Tribolium castaneum: one gene and its partners. The protein of the gene in region 3 purifies or fractionates together with the protein of the main gene of each other region. This does not show direct contact. Links are inferred from orthologs where the notes say so. Each region holds a gene or a part of one and is shown on either strand. Other genes may lie near its edges. The genes, in order: P32, eukaryotic translation initiation factor 4E transporter and tral.

What was found.
Region 1: the proteins of tral (region 3) and P32 purify together in Homo sapiens (affinity purification with mass spectrometry; 3 studies listed by BioGRID and IntAct, with this or other methods). This does not show direct contact. The link is inferred for Tribolium castaneum from reciprocal best matches to the Homo sapiens genes LSM14A and C1QBP.
Region 2: the proteins of tral (region 3) and eukaryotic translation initiation factor 4E transporter purify together in Homo sapiens (affinity purification with mass spectrometry; 3 studies listed by BioGRID and IntAct, with this or other methods). This does not show direct contact. The link is inferred for Tribolium castaneum from reciprocal best matches to the Homo sapiens genes LSM14A and EIF4ENIF1.

What each region holds. Positions count from the first base shown.
Region 1 is NC_087394.1:7,764,684-7,768,999, forward strand, and holds the start of P32 (complement component 1 Q subcomponent-binding protein, mitochondrial), read right to left. Parts: upstream 2,927-4,316; 5' UTR 2,831-2,926; coding exon 2,629-2,830; intron 2,584-2,628; coding exon 2,433-2,583; intron 2,386-2,432; coding exon 2,192-2,385; intron 1-2,191. Other genes in the region: Nop60B (H/ACA ribonucleoprotein complex subunit 4), read left to right, coding at 3,950-3,962, 4,119-4,267, 4,315-4,316.
Region 2 is NC_087401.1:14,104,400-14,108,050, reverse strand, and holds part of eukaryotic translation initiation factor 4E transporter, read left to right. Parts: intron 1-3,208; coding exon 3,209-3,624; intron 3,625-3,651. UniProt on the Homo sapiens protein: EIF4E-binding protein that regulates translation and stability of mRNAs in processing bodies (P-bodies). Plays a key role in P-bodies to coordinate the storage of translationally inactive mRNAs in the cytoplasm and prevent their degradation.
Region 3 is NC_087394.1:10,178,853-10,183,084, forward strand, and holds the start of tral (protein LSM14 homolog B), read left to right. Parts: upstream 1-1,340; 5' UTR 1,341-1,479; coding exon 1,480-1,600; intron 1,601-4,232. Other genes in the region: cytochrome c1, heme protein, mitochondrial, read right to left, coding at 243-391, 441-488, 684-755. UniProt on the Homo sapiens protein: Essential for formation of P-bodies, cytoplasmic structures that provide storage sites for translationally inactive mRNAs and protect them from degradation. Acts as a repressor of mRNA translation. May play a role in mitotic spindle assembly.

The DNA of each region.
Region 1 (4,316 bases), about 2.4 Mb from region 3:
ATTTTTACCTTTTTCAAGCATGTAAGCGCGTTTCTGAGATAAAACCTTAATCTGTTTGCGAGTTTTCCGTATAATTGGACACAAAAATCGCAAAAGGTAAAAAATGATATTATTTTTACCAATTTTAACCGTTTTATTAGTACGTTTTTCGACTAGAAATATACAATTATTTTTCAAAACGTAAGAAAAAACATCGGAAATCAATAAACTAGCCTGAAAATAACGTATTCTTTCTAAATTTCATTAAACTTGTAGCGTTTTTGGGAGTTTTAACAGTTTTTATAAACAAGAAACGCATTTATCTTGCAAAGTTAGTTACAAAGAAGTCGAAGGATTACCGAACAAAGCCAAAATTAGATCAAAATGACATAATTTTTACCATTTTAGCACGTTTCTCGACCAGAAATATTCAAAACAAAAGAAAAAAGTTGTGAAATCACTAAGTCAGCCTAAAAATAACGAAATTTCAATAGACTAAATAAAAAATAGACTGGTGATCACTGTAGCGTTTTTGGGAGTTTTAAAACACAGTTATCTCTCAAAATTTGGTCACAATGAAGCCGAAAAATTACCAAACAAAGCCAAAATTAGATCAAAATGACATTTTTTTACAAATTTTAACCATTTTAGCACGTTTTCAAACAAAAAATATACAATAATTTTTCAAAACGTTATAAGAAAAAGCTGGGAAATCACTAAATTAGTCTGAAAATAGCGTACTTTTGAGAAATTTCGCTAAACTGAATAAAAAAATAGACTGGTGATCATTGTGGTTTTTTAGAAGTTTTAAAAAGCAGTTATCTCAAAATTTGGTTACAAAAAAGCCGAAGAATTACCAAACAAACCCAAAATTAGGTCACAATGACATTATTTTTAGCAATTTTAACCATATTAGCACGTTTTTCGACCATAAATAACAATTATTTTTAAGAAAAAATATGAGAAATCAGTAAATTAGCCTGAAAATAGCTGAATAAACTGAATAAAAAATAGACTTGTGATCACTGTAGCGTTTTTGGGAGTTTTAAAACACAGTTATCTCTCAAAATTTGGTCACAATGAAGCCGAAAAATTACCAAACAAAGCCAAAATTAGATCAAAATGACATTATTTTTACAAATTTTAACCATTTTAGCACGTTTTCAAACAAGAAATATACAATAATTTTTCAAAACGTTATAAGAAAAAGCTGGGAAATCACTAAATTAGTCTGAAAATAGCGTACTTTTTGAGAAATTTCGCTAAACTGAATAAACAAATAGACCGGTGATCATTGTAGTTTTTTGGTTTTTGGAAGTTTTAAAAAGCAGTTATCTCAAAATTTGGTTACAAAAAAGAATTACCAAACAAAGCATCAGGTCAAAATGGCATTATTTTTAGCAATTTTAACCATATTGGCACGTTTTTCGACCATAAATAACAATTATTTTTAAGAAAAAAGATGAGAAATCAGTAAACTAGCCTGAAAATAGCGTGTTTTTTTCCGCAATTTCGCTAAACTGAATAAAAAATAGACGATCATTGTATTGTTTTTGGGAGTTTTAACAGGTTTTCTAGATTACAAACGCAGTTGTTTTGCAAAATTTAGTTACAAGAAGCCGAAGAATTGCAAAACAACGCCAAAAAGCAGTTTTTTTTTCGAATTACAATCCTCCAAAACTAGTTGAAAAAAACACCAAATCATACTGACCATGATATTCTATTTGAGATTGATTTCCTCGATTTCATTCTTAATTGAGCCAAAGACGCATTTATTTTGCACATTCTTGTCTAATTATTGCCTTTTTTTGAGCGTTTCAAAACGTTTTTTCGTCAAAAACTTAATTATTTCGAAGAAAATCGTCAAAAATTAACCAAAAAAGGATGTATTAGAGCTAAAATCCTAAAATCTTTCAGTAAGGTTAAAACATCCCAATTTTTTGCGTTTTCGGGGGATTTAGGACATTTTGTTGCGAAAAATAAGCCGAAAATTTGCTAAATCAGGTTGAACTTTTTTCAGCTAAGGGCTTAGTTTATTCCAAGATTTCGCATATCTTCACAAAAATGCTATCATATATGATTTTTTAGTGTTCGAAGCGTTTTTTAATCCTCTAAAACCGAATAAAATTATCACCAAATGGCGTTTCATTCGATTAGATTTTGAGCCGAAAGTTGTGCAAAATCTTGTGAATTAAAAACAGAAGTGTCTTACTAGAATCTTCCTCTTGCTCATCACTTTCTAAAAATGAGCACAAAACACTGAAAGTGGTCGACCCTCGCACAATTTCAATTCGAAATTCAGGCTTTGACTTTAATTCTCCAAATTCTGGATTGTCCATCGTCGAATCCACTTTAGGTAGTTCATCAGAGTCTACTGTGTGGTTCACATTGAAAGTAATTTTTATCCTAGAAGTTGCCACTTCATAACAAGAAATGAGACGCATTTGACTCACGTTTCATTTTCAACTTTTTTGTTCAAAGTGACTTCAGACCCGTTCAACCCCACTTTAAAACCCTCAAGCTCGGCTGGAAGCGTCACCGACTTCTGGGCCTTCCTCTCCAGGACAATCTCCTCAGTGAGAAACTCAACCAGTTCACGTTCGGCTACAAGTTTGTTATTCCTCCAACTTATTGGGCTCACTTACGTACCTTTACTGTGTGCATGCTGGTGCCTGCTCATGCACCCACAAGTGCACAACTTGCTCAGTTTGTTTTCGGACTCATTGCGATTGCACATGTACCAAAGATTGCGCGCAAGTTGCCGCTGCTGGAAAGTGTTGGACACTTTTTTAACCGGACTCAGGAGCGTCTTGAAGCTGAGTCTGGACGCAACTCGAAGCAAATTATTCATTTTTATACTTAGTTTAGGCGAAATGCGTGAAAAAACCGGCCACAACACGTGCTATCAAAAAAACTGTCAGAAAAAAGCGACGCGCAACCCAACGCTACGAAAATCCCCAGAATGGCACCAACCCACAAACGATAATCACTAAATCGTCACCAAATTCCTCATAGGGTTGCCACACCTGTCCGGTTTTCACCCAGATGATTGTCCGGTGTCCAGATAAAATGTTAAACCGGACAATAATTGGCCAGTTTTCTTATAGTAATTAAAATTTTGTGGTCTAAAATTAAAATTAATGAAAAATTTAGAAAACTCTTCGATAGAACGATTTTTAATATTTAAAAAAAATCCTGGATTGAATTGGAAAAATGTAGAGTAATCAACTTCTAAAAATTGAAATTACATTTTGCAAACGGGTTACCGTATATAATTTTGCAAAAAAAACAGCTATAGAAGGGTACTTACAGTTGCGTCATATGTTATATTTCTTCTAAAACTATTGGCATTTTTTTTTAAGTTTTGTAATTAACTAACACATTCTGAGTTATTTGCCAAAAAGTTCGTAAAACTTTGCTAGAGTGAGTTTAAATTTTTTTTCTTAATTTTTGTGAAGGTAAGTGCCTTGATTATTAAAATTTTGAGCAAAAAATTTCAAAATTTTAAATGAAATAAAAAATGGACAATAGACTTTTGGTTTTTGATAAATATTTTTTTAATGTAAAACTTTATATGCCTCTGTACCTGGAACCGTTGACCGAAGCGGCTCCGGGTTTTGGCAAGAAAATAGATAATTTTAGGCGCTATCTGATGCTTTTTTGATTTTAGTTCTAAGTCTCAGTGTTTCCGAAAAAAAACACAAAAAAAAAGATTGCAATTTTTACATTTTTTAAATTTTTAAACACCGATTACAGCGCATAAAAACGCCAATGTTTACCAAAATAAAATAAAAAAAATAAAAGAAAAATCGTTTAAGACTCTAAATAACCGAAAAAACATTTCCCGCCATTTATTTCATTTAAATTTTTTTCAGTAGCGCCACTTAAAATCTGTCAAAATTGTTGTTAGTTGTCAAAAAACTAACCCTACTTTCTGTGTCGGATGCACGTGTTGGTTATTTTCTAAGCGATGTCTGAGTTTGGTAAGTTATTGTTTATTATTATCTTTAACGAGGCTTTATTTCGTTCTTTGATAAATAATTAGTGGTAGAAATGTATTTAGAGTTTCAAAAATAATGATTTTTTTCAAAAAACCGGCCGCTTTGTCTTATCGTTATTTAGAACGCAATTTTGTGCAGAGGCGGATACGCCCGTTAGGGAGAAGAAAAAGAAGAAAAGCAAGGGCGACAAAGACTTGGGGAACCTTCAAAAAGGCTCCGAATTTGCAGTGGAGCCCTCCTCAGTGATTGCAAAGTTGGACAGTTCCAAGTGGCCCTTGTTGTTAAAGGTGGGTTTTAAATTCGGTTTTTCGTTACATCAAAGCGTGATTTGCAGTA
Region 2 (3,651 bases), on a different chromosome or scaffold from region 3:
TGCAATTAAATTTTATGGAATTATTCGTTTGTGAAATAAAAAGACAACAACACAACAATAAAATGGTCCTACCTTTCGTATCGCTTCCACGTTGGCTATCGTTTGTAGCATTAAAATAAAATTAAAAACAACGCCAAAAAAAGCTTTATTTGCATTAAATTTAGAGCAAGCCACTTTCATTCATTGAAATTAAAGAGAAAATTATTAAGTGGCATTAAATTGTTTGAGTGTTTTATTTTATTTAGTTACTGAATTTAAAACGCGTCACTCAAACTTTGACTTTTCAACACCGTATTTAGCGCCGGTGTACTCAACGTTTTATTTGCAATTAAATTTTATGGAATTATTCGTTTGTGAAATAAAAAATACACACACAAATAAAATGGTCCTACCTTTCGTATCGCTTCCACGTTGGCTACCGTTTGTAGCATTAAAATAAAATTAAAAACAACGCCAAAAAAAGCTTTATTTGCATTAAATTTAGAGCAAGCCACTTTGATTCATTGAAATTAAAGAGAAAATTATTAAGTGGCAATAAATTGTTTGAGTGTTTATTTTATTTAGTTACTGAATTTAAAACGCGTCACTCAAACTTTGACTTTTCAACACCGTATTTAGCGCCGGTGTACTCAACATTTTATTTGCAATTAAATTTTATGGAAATATTCGTTTGTGAAATACAAAATACACACAAAAATAAAATGGTCCTACCTTTCGTATCGCTTCCACGTTGGCTACCGTTTGTAGCATTAAATAAAATTAAAAACACCGCCAAAAAAGCTTTATTTGCATTAAATTTAGAGCAAGCCACTTTGATTCATTGAAATTAAAGAGAAAATTATTAAGTGGCAATAAATTGTTTGAGTGTTTTATTTTATTTAAGTTACTGAATTTAAAACGCGTCACTCAAACTTTGACTTTTCAACACCGTATTTAGCGCCGGTGTACTCAACATTTTATTTGCAATTAAATTTTAACCAATTATTCGTTTGTGAAATAAAAAATACACACACAAAAATAAAATGGTCCTACCTTTCGTATCGCTTCCACGTTGGCTACCGTTTGTAGCATTAAATAAAATTAAAAACACCGCCAAAAAAGCTTTATTTGCATTAAATTTAGAGCAAGCCACTTTGATTCATTGAAATTAAAGAGAAAATTATTAAGTGGCAATAAATTGTTTGAGTGTTTTATTTTATTTAAGTTACTGAATTTAAAACGCGTCACTCAAACTTTGACTTTTCAACACCGTATTTAGTGCCGGTGTACTCAACATTTTATTTGCAATTAAATTTTAACCAATTATTCGTTTGTGAAATAAAAAATACACACACAAAAATAAAATGGTCCTACCTTTCGTATCGCTTCCACGTTGGCTACCGTTTGTAGCATTAAATAAAATTAAAAACACCGCCAAAAAAGCTTTATTTGCATTAAATTTAGAGCAAGCCACTTCATTGAAATTAAAGAGAAAATTATTAAGTGGCATTAAATTGTTTGAGTGTTTGATTTTATTTATAGTTACTGTATTTGAAATGAGTCACTCAAACTATGACTTTTCAACACCGCATTTAAAAAATTAAAACGCACGACTGCTACCGTTTGTAGCAAGATAATGAAAATAAATTAACCGCAAATGAAAAAAAAAAAATGCACTGACCTTTTTAATCCGGATTGTTGTTTCCTTCTTGAAGACCATTCCATTGGCACTAACACACACTACACTAACCGCGATCACCGAATTTAAAATTTAAACCGAAAAATTTAGATTTGCTCGAGCACACGTCCGTTCGCGACAACGGCAAGTAACAAACTGAATAATTTAAACGAAACGGCACAATAATTTAAATAAACCGCTCGTCTCGCGCTCCCGAAGTGACCCGTGCCACTGCTCGATGCCGACTGAAGCGCTCTCGCCTACTGCGACGCACACCTAACCTCGGGACACGTCACGGACGTGACGTCATTATATGTCTAAAACAGTTCATCACCAGAAACATACATTCACATAATTCGTCGAAATTAGAAACATTCATACACAGAATTATTCAAAATAGAACAGTATTGACCTAGAAAAATTAATTATAACAAATGTATTTGTCTGTAAACGTCTAAAATTATAAAAGTTTCGCATGCTGTTAATGGAAAAATAAAAATGCATGTTGTTATTTTAACAGAACCTGGCAATGTGAATTTTGGTGCGAAAATTAGTGGTATCGCAATGCGTATATCCACAAATTGTTTGTTTGGTTTGTTTTGTTGAAAATTCGGTAGGTTCGAAAAGTAGGGTTATGTTGTTACCTGGAAATGACAAAATTTCCACTTTTATCCATTTCTGCCCTTTCAGAGCGTTATGATAGGATATTTAGGGCAGAAATAACTACCTTGTGTCAAAAATTTATGTGCTATTGCCAAATAGAGACAAAGGTTCAGAAAATAGGGTTATGCGCTCTTCTGAAGTGTTAGATTTTAACTTTAATAGATTTTGTGTGCTTTTCTGCTCTTTTAGGGCGTTATTATTCATTGTTGAATATGTTTAAGGGCAGGCAAATCTACCTTTGAGTCAACGACATAAACTTTAGTGTGATTTATTGAAATAATAGGGTAAAAATTAACTTCTCGTGTTAAAAAAGGGTGTTTAATCGTTTATAAAGGGCGTGTTAACGTGTGTTAAATTTACCACGTAATAAAACAAAAGTACAACAACTTTTCTATAAAAGCATTTTGCAAAATTTTTATTCATTATTTTCACTATTTTCCTTCTTTCCTTTGTGCAAACGAGCCGGTGATGTGAAATTTTGGTGTGAAAATTAGTGTAATTGTAAATTTAATCTCTTTTTCGCCCTGTTTCAACGAATTTTTCTCTCAAATCAGTTCTTTTCAGAACGCCATAATTGTGTGTGTGTGAAAAATTAACACACGCAAATGTGATCTGATATCACATTCTAAATCATTTCTACAGAGCATATACTACAGTAAAACCTCTCAACAACGGACACCGGAATTGTCCGGTGTAGAGAGGTGTCCACTAATGGGAGGTTGGAAATTTTAATATAGGTTTTGTTACGTTCCTACAAAAATGTCCGTTGTGAAGAGATGTCCGTTAAAAGAGGTTTCAGAAAAATTTTGGAGGCATCACCTTGTACTTTATTAAATAAATAAAACTACAGCGCCTGGCGTTTTTTAAAAATTAAAAATTATTTTTTAGGCGAATCCCGTGACGAGGAGCCCGAATGGTTCTCATCCGGTCCGTCTTCCCAAAACGATACAATCGAATTGCGCGGTTTCGACGATTCGGATCGTCTCGGAAAGAAGAAAATGTCACCGTCGCAAGCGAAACGCGCACGCGATTGGTTCAAAAAGAAGACTGAAGTGTCGAGTGTGACCGAAGAAAAGGAAGAAATGAGCGAAGGTGGTCCCGGTGGCCGGTCAACGCCTACGCCGCAGAGCGGTTCAGGTGAAACAATCGGCGGGGAACAAACAAATGAGTCAAACACAAACGCGTCTGAAAGTGGAGATGGTGACGGAAAACACAATCAAGAGAAGAATCTGAACGACCAATCGTCGATTTTTGAAGATATCTTGAAGTCGGATAGTATTCCCGGACTGCCAGGGTTGTTAACTGTGAGTTGTTGTTTTTTTTTTAATTAT
Region 3 (4,232 bases):
GTCCGATTCCGAAACCACAGCACTTTAACTGTTACTCTTAAAAATTAATAACTTGAAGAATGGAAATACTAGTCCAAAACAGTTTGGGCAGGCAATTAGGCATAATAACGACAGTGGCGCCATCTCTTTACTGTTGCTCCACCAAACCCAAAGACTTCATAAAAAAGTGCATTCTATATCTACTGGCTTTGGTTTCGCCCCTTAATTTAAGTCCTCCACACTTCTGACGCCAAAATAAATACCTGGAGTGGTCAAGTGAGCTGAGAATACCGTTGTGGCTCCATGGGTTTTTAGGGGGGTGTAACTCAAGATCTGAGGCTTTGACTGACTGTTCAAGGGCGAAAACCAACGCACCGGCGCCCCCAGCCAACGCTCCCAAAGTCCCTATTAACTAAATTTATCAACGTAACAAATATCCCACCCAAACTGGCCAAACTTACAGCTTTTCGGCCTCTGGTCCATTCCCTCGTAGTCGAAAAGGAACTGATCTAAAACGTAATCGCAACATTACATAACCGCTAAATGCAATTAAATCCAAAAAATAATCACCAACTAAGAAATAAAGTGATGACATAACGTCTCATAAGAACTCGAATAACGTGCCGATTTAAAGTCCGTTTTTTGGCAAATGGTCAATAACAAATCTTACTGCGCTGGTTTCGCGAAAATGAGGGGTAACTTACCTGAGTTACTGTTTTACCGCAGGAGGGTTTCAGAAGTCCAGCCCCGCAAATCCTTCCAACACTCGCAGCCATGTTGACTAAGGGTGGTCACAGGTCAACAGAATCCCCGTCTAAAAACCGATGGGACTTGAAATATGCAGCAAATGCATAAACTGACGGAGAAAAGCCAAAGTTTATCCTTCACGTGAACGACTTCGTTCCAAGGGAAGGATAACAGAATTTTGACAGCTTTACGTAATAGGCACCGTGGGGATTTTCACTCCGTTTGGGTGGCACTTGCCACCAAAAGGCGCCTTGCATTTGAACAAATCAACTTTTTTCACACTTTTTGAGGCCCTTTAACTACCTGGAGCCCCCACACATCGTATATGATTATGCATTAACCCACTTAAGAGTATATTACAGCCGAGTTATTTTTTTTACTTCGAACTCGTCATATTGGCAGTAGTGCAAAAAACAGTAGCGTCCCGTAACAACGAATAAATGGGAGATTATTTATTGAATAAATTTTGTTACGTCAAAAGTTTTAACACATAACCCATCACTGATTTAATAGTGTTACGTTTTATCGTTTGTTGTAATAAAAAATCGCTACTAGTTGTTGCAAAAATAGTGAAAATTTTCTCCCCGCCAGTGGTCTAACGGTTGGGTTTGTGGTTGTGGCAGGCCTGCTTTGCGTCATTCGCTCCAGCTGTTTTGGGTACGCCATTTGAGAATCGTATTTTCGAAATAGGTTGAGTTAAATGTTAATCGTTTAAAATCCTCGTCATCCTGTTCGTAAAGTGATTTATTCAGAATGAGTGCTGGTATGCCGGAGATTGGCTCCAAAATAAGTCTAATATCGAAAGCCGATATCCGGTACGAAGGACGATTATTTACAGTAGACCCCAAAGAATGTACAATTGCCCTATCTTCCGGTAAGTTGGATTTTCTACTAATTTACACCCAATTTCTGTATGATTGTCGGAAAGCGCGCCCTAGAATTGCCTTCCGGGCCGAATTGGAGTCAATTCTGGCAAAACTTTTTGTCCCAAGACCGAGATAATTGTTACTTAATGCTTTTTTAACTAATCCGTTGTTAGTGGAATTGTGCTGCTGGAAGTAATGACCTCGCGAGAGCTGCCCGAAAAAGCTATCTAATCTGTTTTTTTGCGGCGAAAAAACTTCAAGAATCAACTTGTTTTTGTCCAGTTGAGGCGCGAATTTCAAACTGAACTTTTAGTTATAAACGTTATCAAACTTCGTTTGTTACTGATATGATCACATTTCGGGCGATGTAAAGAAATGTGCTGTATACAAAAAGCAGATTGAGTTTCTTAAATTAAAAAAAGATTATGGGTAAATTGAAAATGTGTTTTTTTTAGATGTTCGTTCATTATTCACTGGTTTTCAAGAACTTACTCTTTTTATTACTGAGTATAACTTTGATATCGATGGAGTGTGAAACGTTTTTAAATGACAATACTATCACAGAAACTGTTGGTATTGAAAATTACAGCAACTGTAATTCTTAGGACGGGTTTATTGAAGGCTTTTTTAAAATTTAATTTGTTGTTACAATTTAATTCGTTTTTAAAACTTAACAGCGCGAATGGACCAATCAAATCTGTTCAATTTGGTCACGTGGTCAGTTAATCACGCATTTAATTGCGTGATTAATTTAATTAACCGACCCTTAGGGCCGGTTTATTAAAAGCTTTGTTAAAATTTAATTCGTTGTTAAAAGTTAACAACGCGAATGGACCAATCACATTTGTTCAATTTGGTCACGTGGTTAGTTAATCATTGATAATTTATTAATTACTCATTAATTTAATTAATCGACCCTTAACTATTTTTCTTGATTAGTGTTAAATTCGAATCAACCTCGTTCACAAAAAATCACAGTATAAAGTTAGCTCATTAATTGATTATTTTGAAGACTTTCTATTTTTTATAACTTATAACACCTTAATATCAGAACATTTTTATCCTAGCTGACTTCATTGTTGATAGTTTTAGAGATAATTAGCTGTAGAAATGTTTGTATAGTTATAAATTTTTGCAATTAATTAAGAACCAACTCGCATTACTCAGTTTTCTAGCTCACTAATCGATTTAATGTTTTGTAACAATCCAGAAATTGTTATTAATTCTGATGTTAATGCTGACATGGTTTCTGATCACTACTTAGTATTTTGTGATTTAGCTTTTTCAAAACAGCATATTAGCTGTTTCAAAACTTTCAAGAAATGCCAACGTGGCATTTTACCGAATTCTTTTTTTAAATAAGGTTGATGAAAATGTAAAATAGTTACTAATGGTAACATCTCTCATTGAAACTATTAGCTATTATCTTTTTGAAGTGTATGAATAGTTATCCCAACTAACTTTTAGGGAAAATGCGACGTTTGCCTTTCTATAGTTTTAAAACAGCTAATAGAGTACCTAAATTGATTTCTTACAGAAACTTAAACAAATTTAATTATCAAATATTTTTAAATGATTTTTAAATACTAATGTGCCGGATTCGGTACTCTATTATACTACCCTTGACGACGAAATCGAATTTCTATCTAACGTGTAACGATTCGATCTTTATGTGCCTTTTGTAATACCTTAGTTTACACCTGTGACTGAAAAAATGTGAAAAAATGATAAATGAGCGTAATTCGGCAATGACAAAGTACAAAAAAAAACAATACTAACGATTGGATTGCTTATAAACATTTACGCAATCTGACTGTAAATTCAATAAGGCAAGAAAAGAAAGCATATTTCACTACTAAAAGTAAACAATACGATAAAAAAGAAATATGGTTAGTTTTACGTAATTTAAACATTAAATCAGGAAAAAGAAACGACATAGTTTTATCAAACTTCAATGTGGATGATGCTAATAATAATAATTTTGTTGTTAGTATTTAGTCCGTCAGATAATTGTACTAATTCCACATTCTTGTTAGTAGCAAAAAATTAAATGTTAATAGTTGTTTTTGTCTTGTACTTGCTTGTATTGATGAAATACAACAGATAAATGATAATTTAAAATCTAATGCTTTTGGTGTTGATCTTCAGCAAATACAGGGTGTTAGCGAAATAAATGCATTCCTTTTAACCTGTGACAGTACACATCAAGGATAACAAAAAATCTTAGTAACATCCTTGCGAAATGAACGAGAGAAAAATACTCATTATTATTATTTTTTATTACCCACTGTCTTCTAATAAAAACAATTCACCACTAAAAAACAGTTGTTGGTACTAAACCATCCACCAAATTTGGAACCTAAGGGTGTAGCCGTTTTTGAGAAAAAAAGCTAAAACTATTTTTTTAGGCTAACTTTTGATGCGAATAACTCTGCAGGGGAGTTCTTTTTCGAAAAATTTTCTAAGAAAGACATTCCGTAAAATCACTTGTAGAACACGCTTTTGAAAGGAATGCATTTATTTCGCTAATACCCTGTATGTTGAAATGATTTTCACCTATTTTGACGAAATTTATTGCTCATATTGTTAACTGTAGCATTGAGGTTGGATATTATCCTGAAATGTGGAAAACCGCTTTAG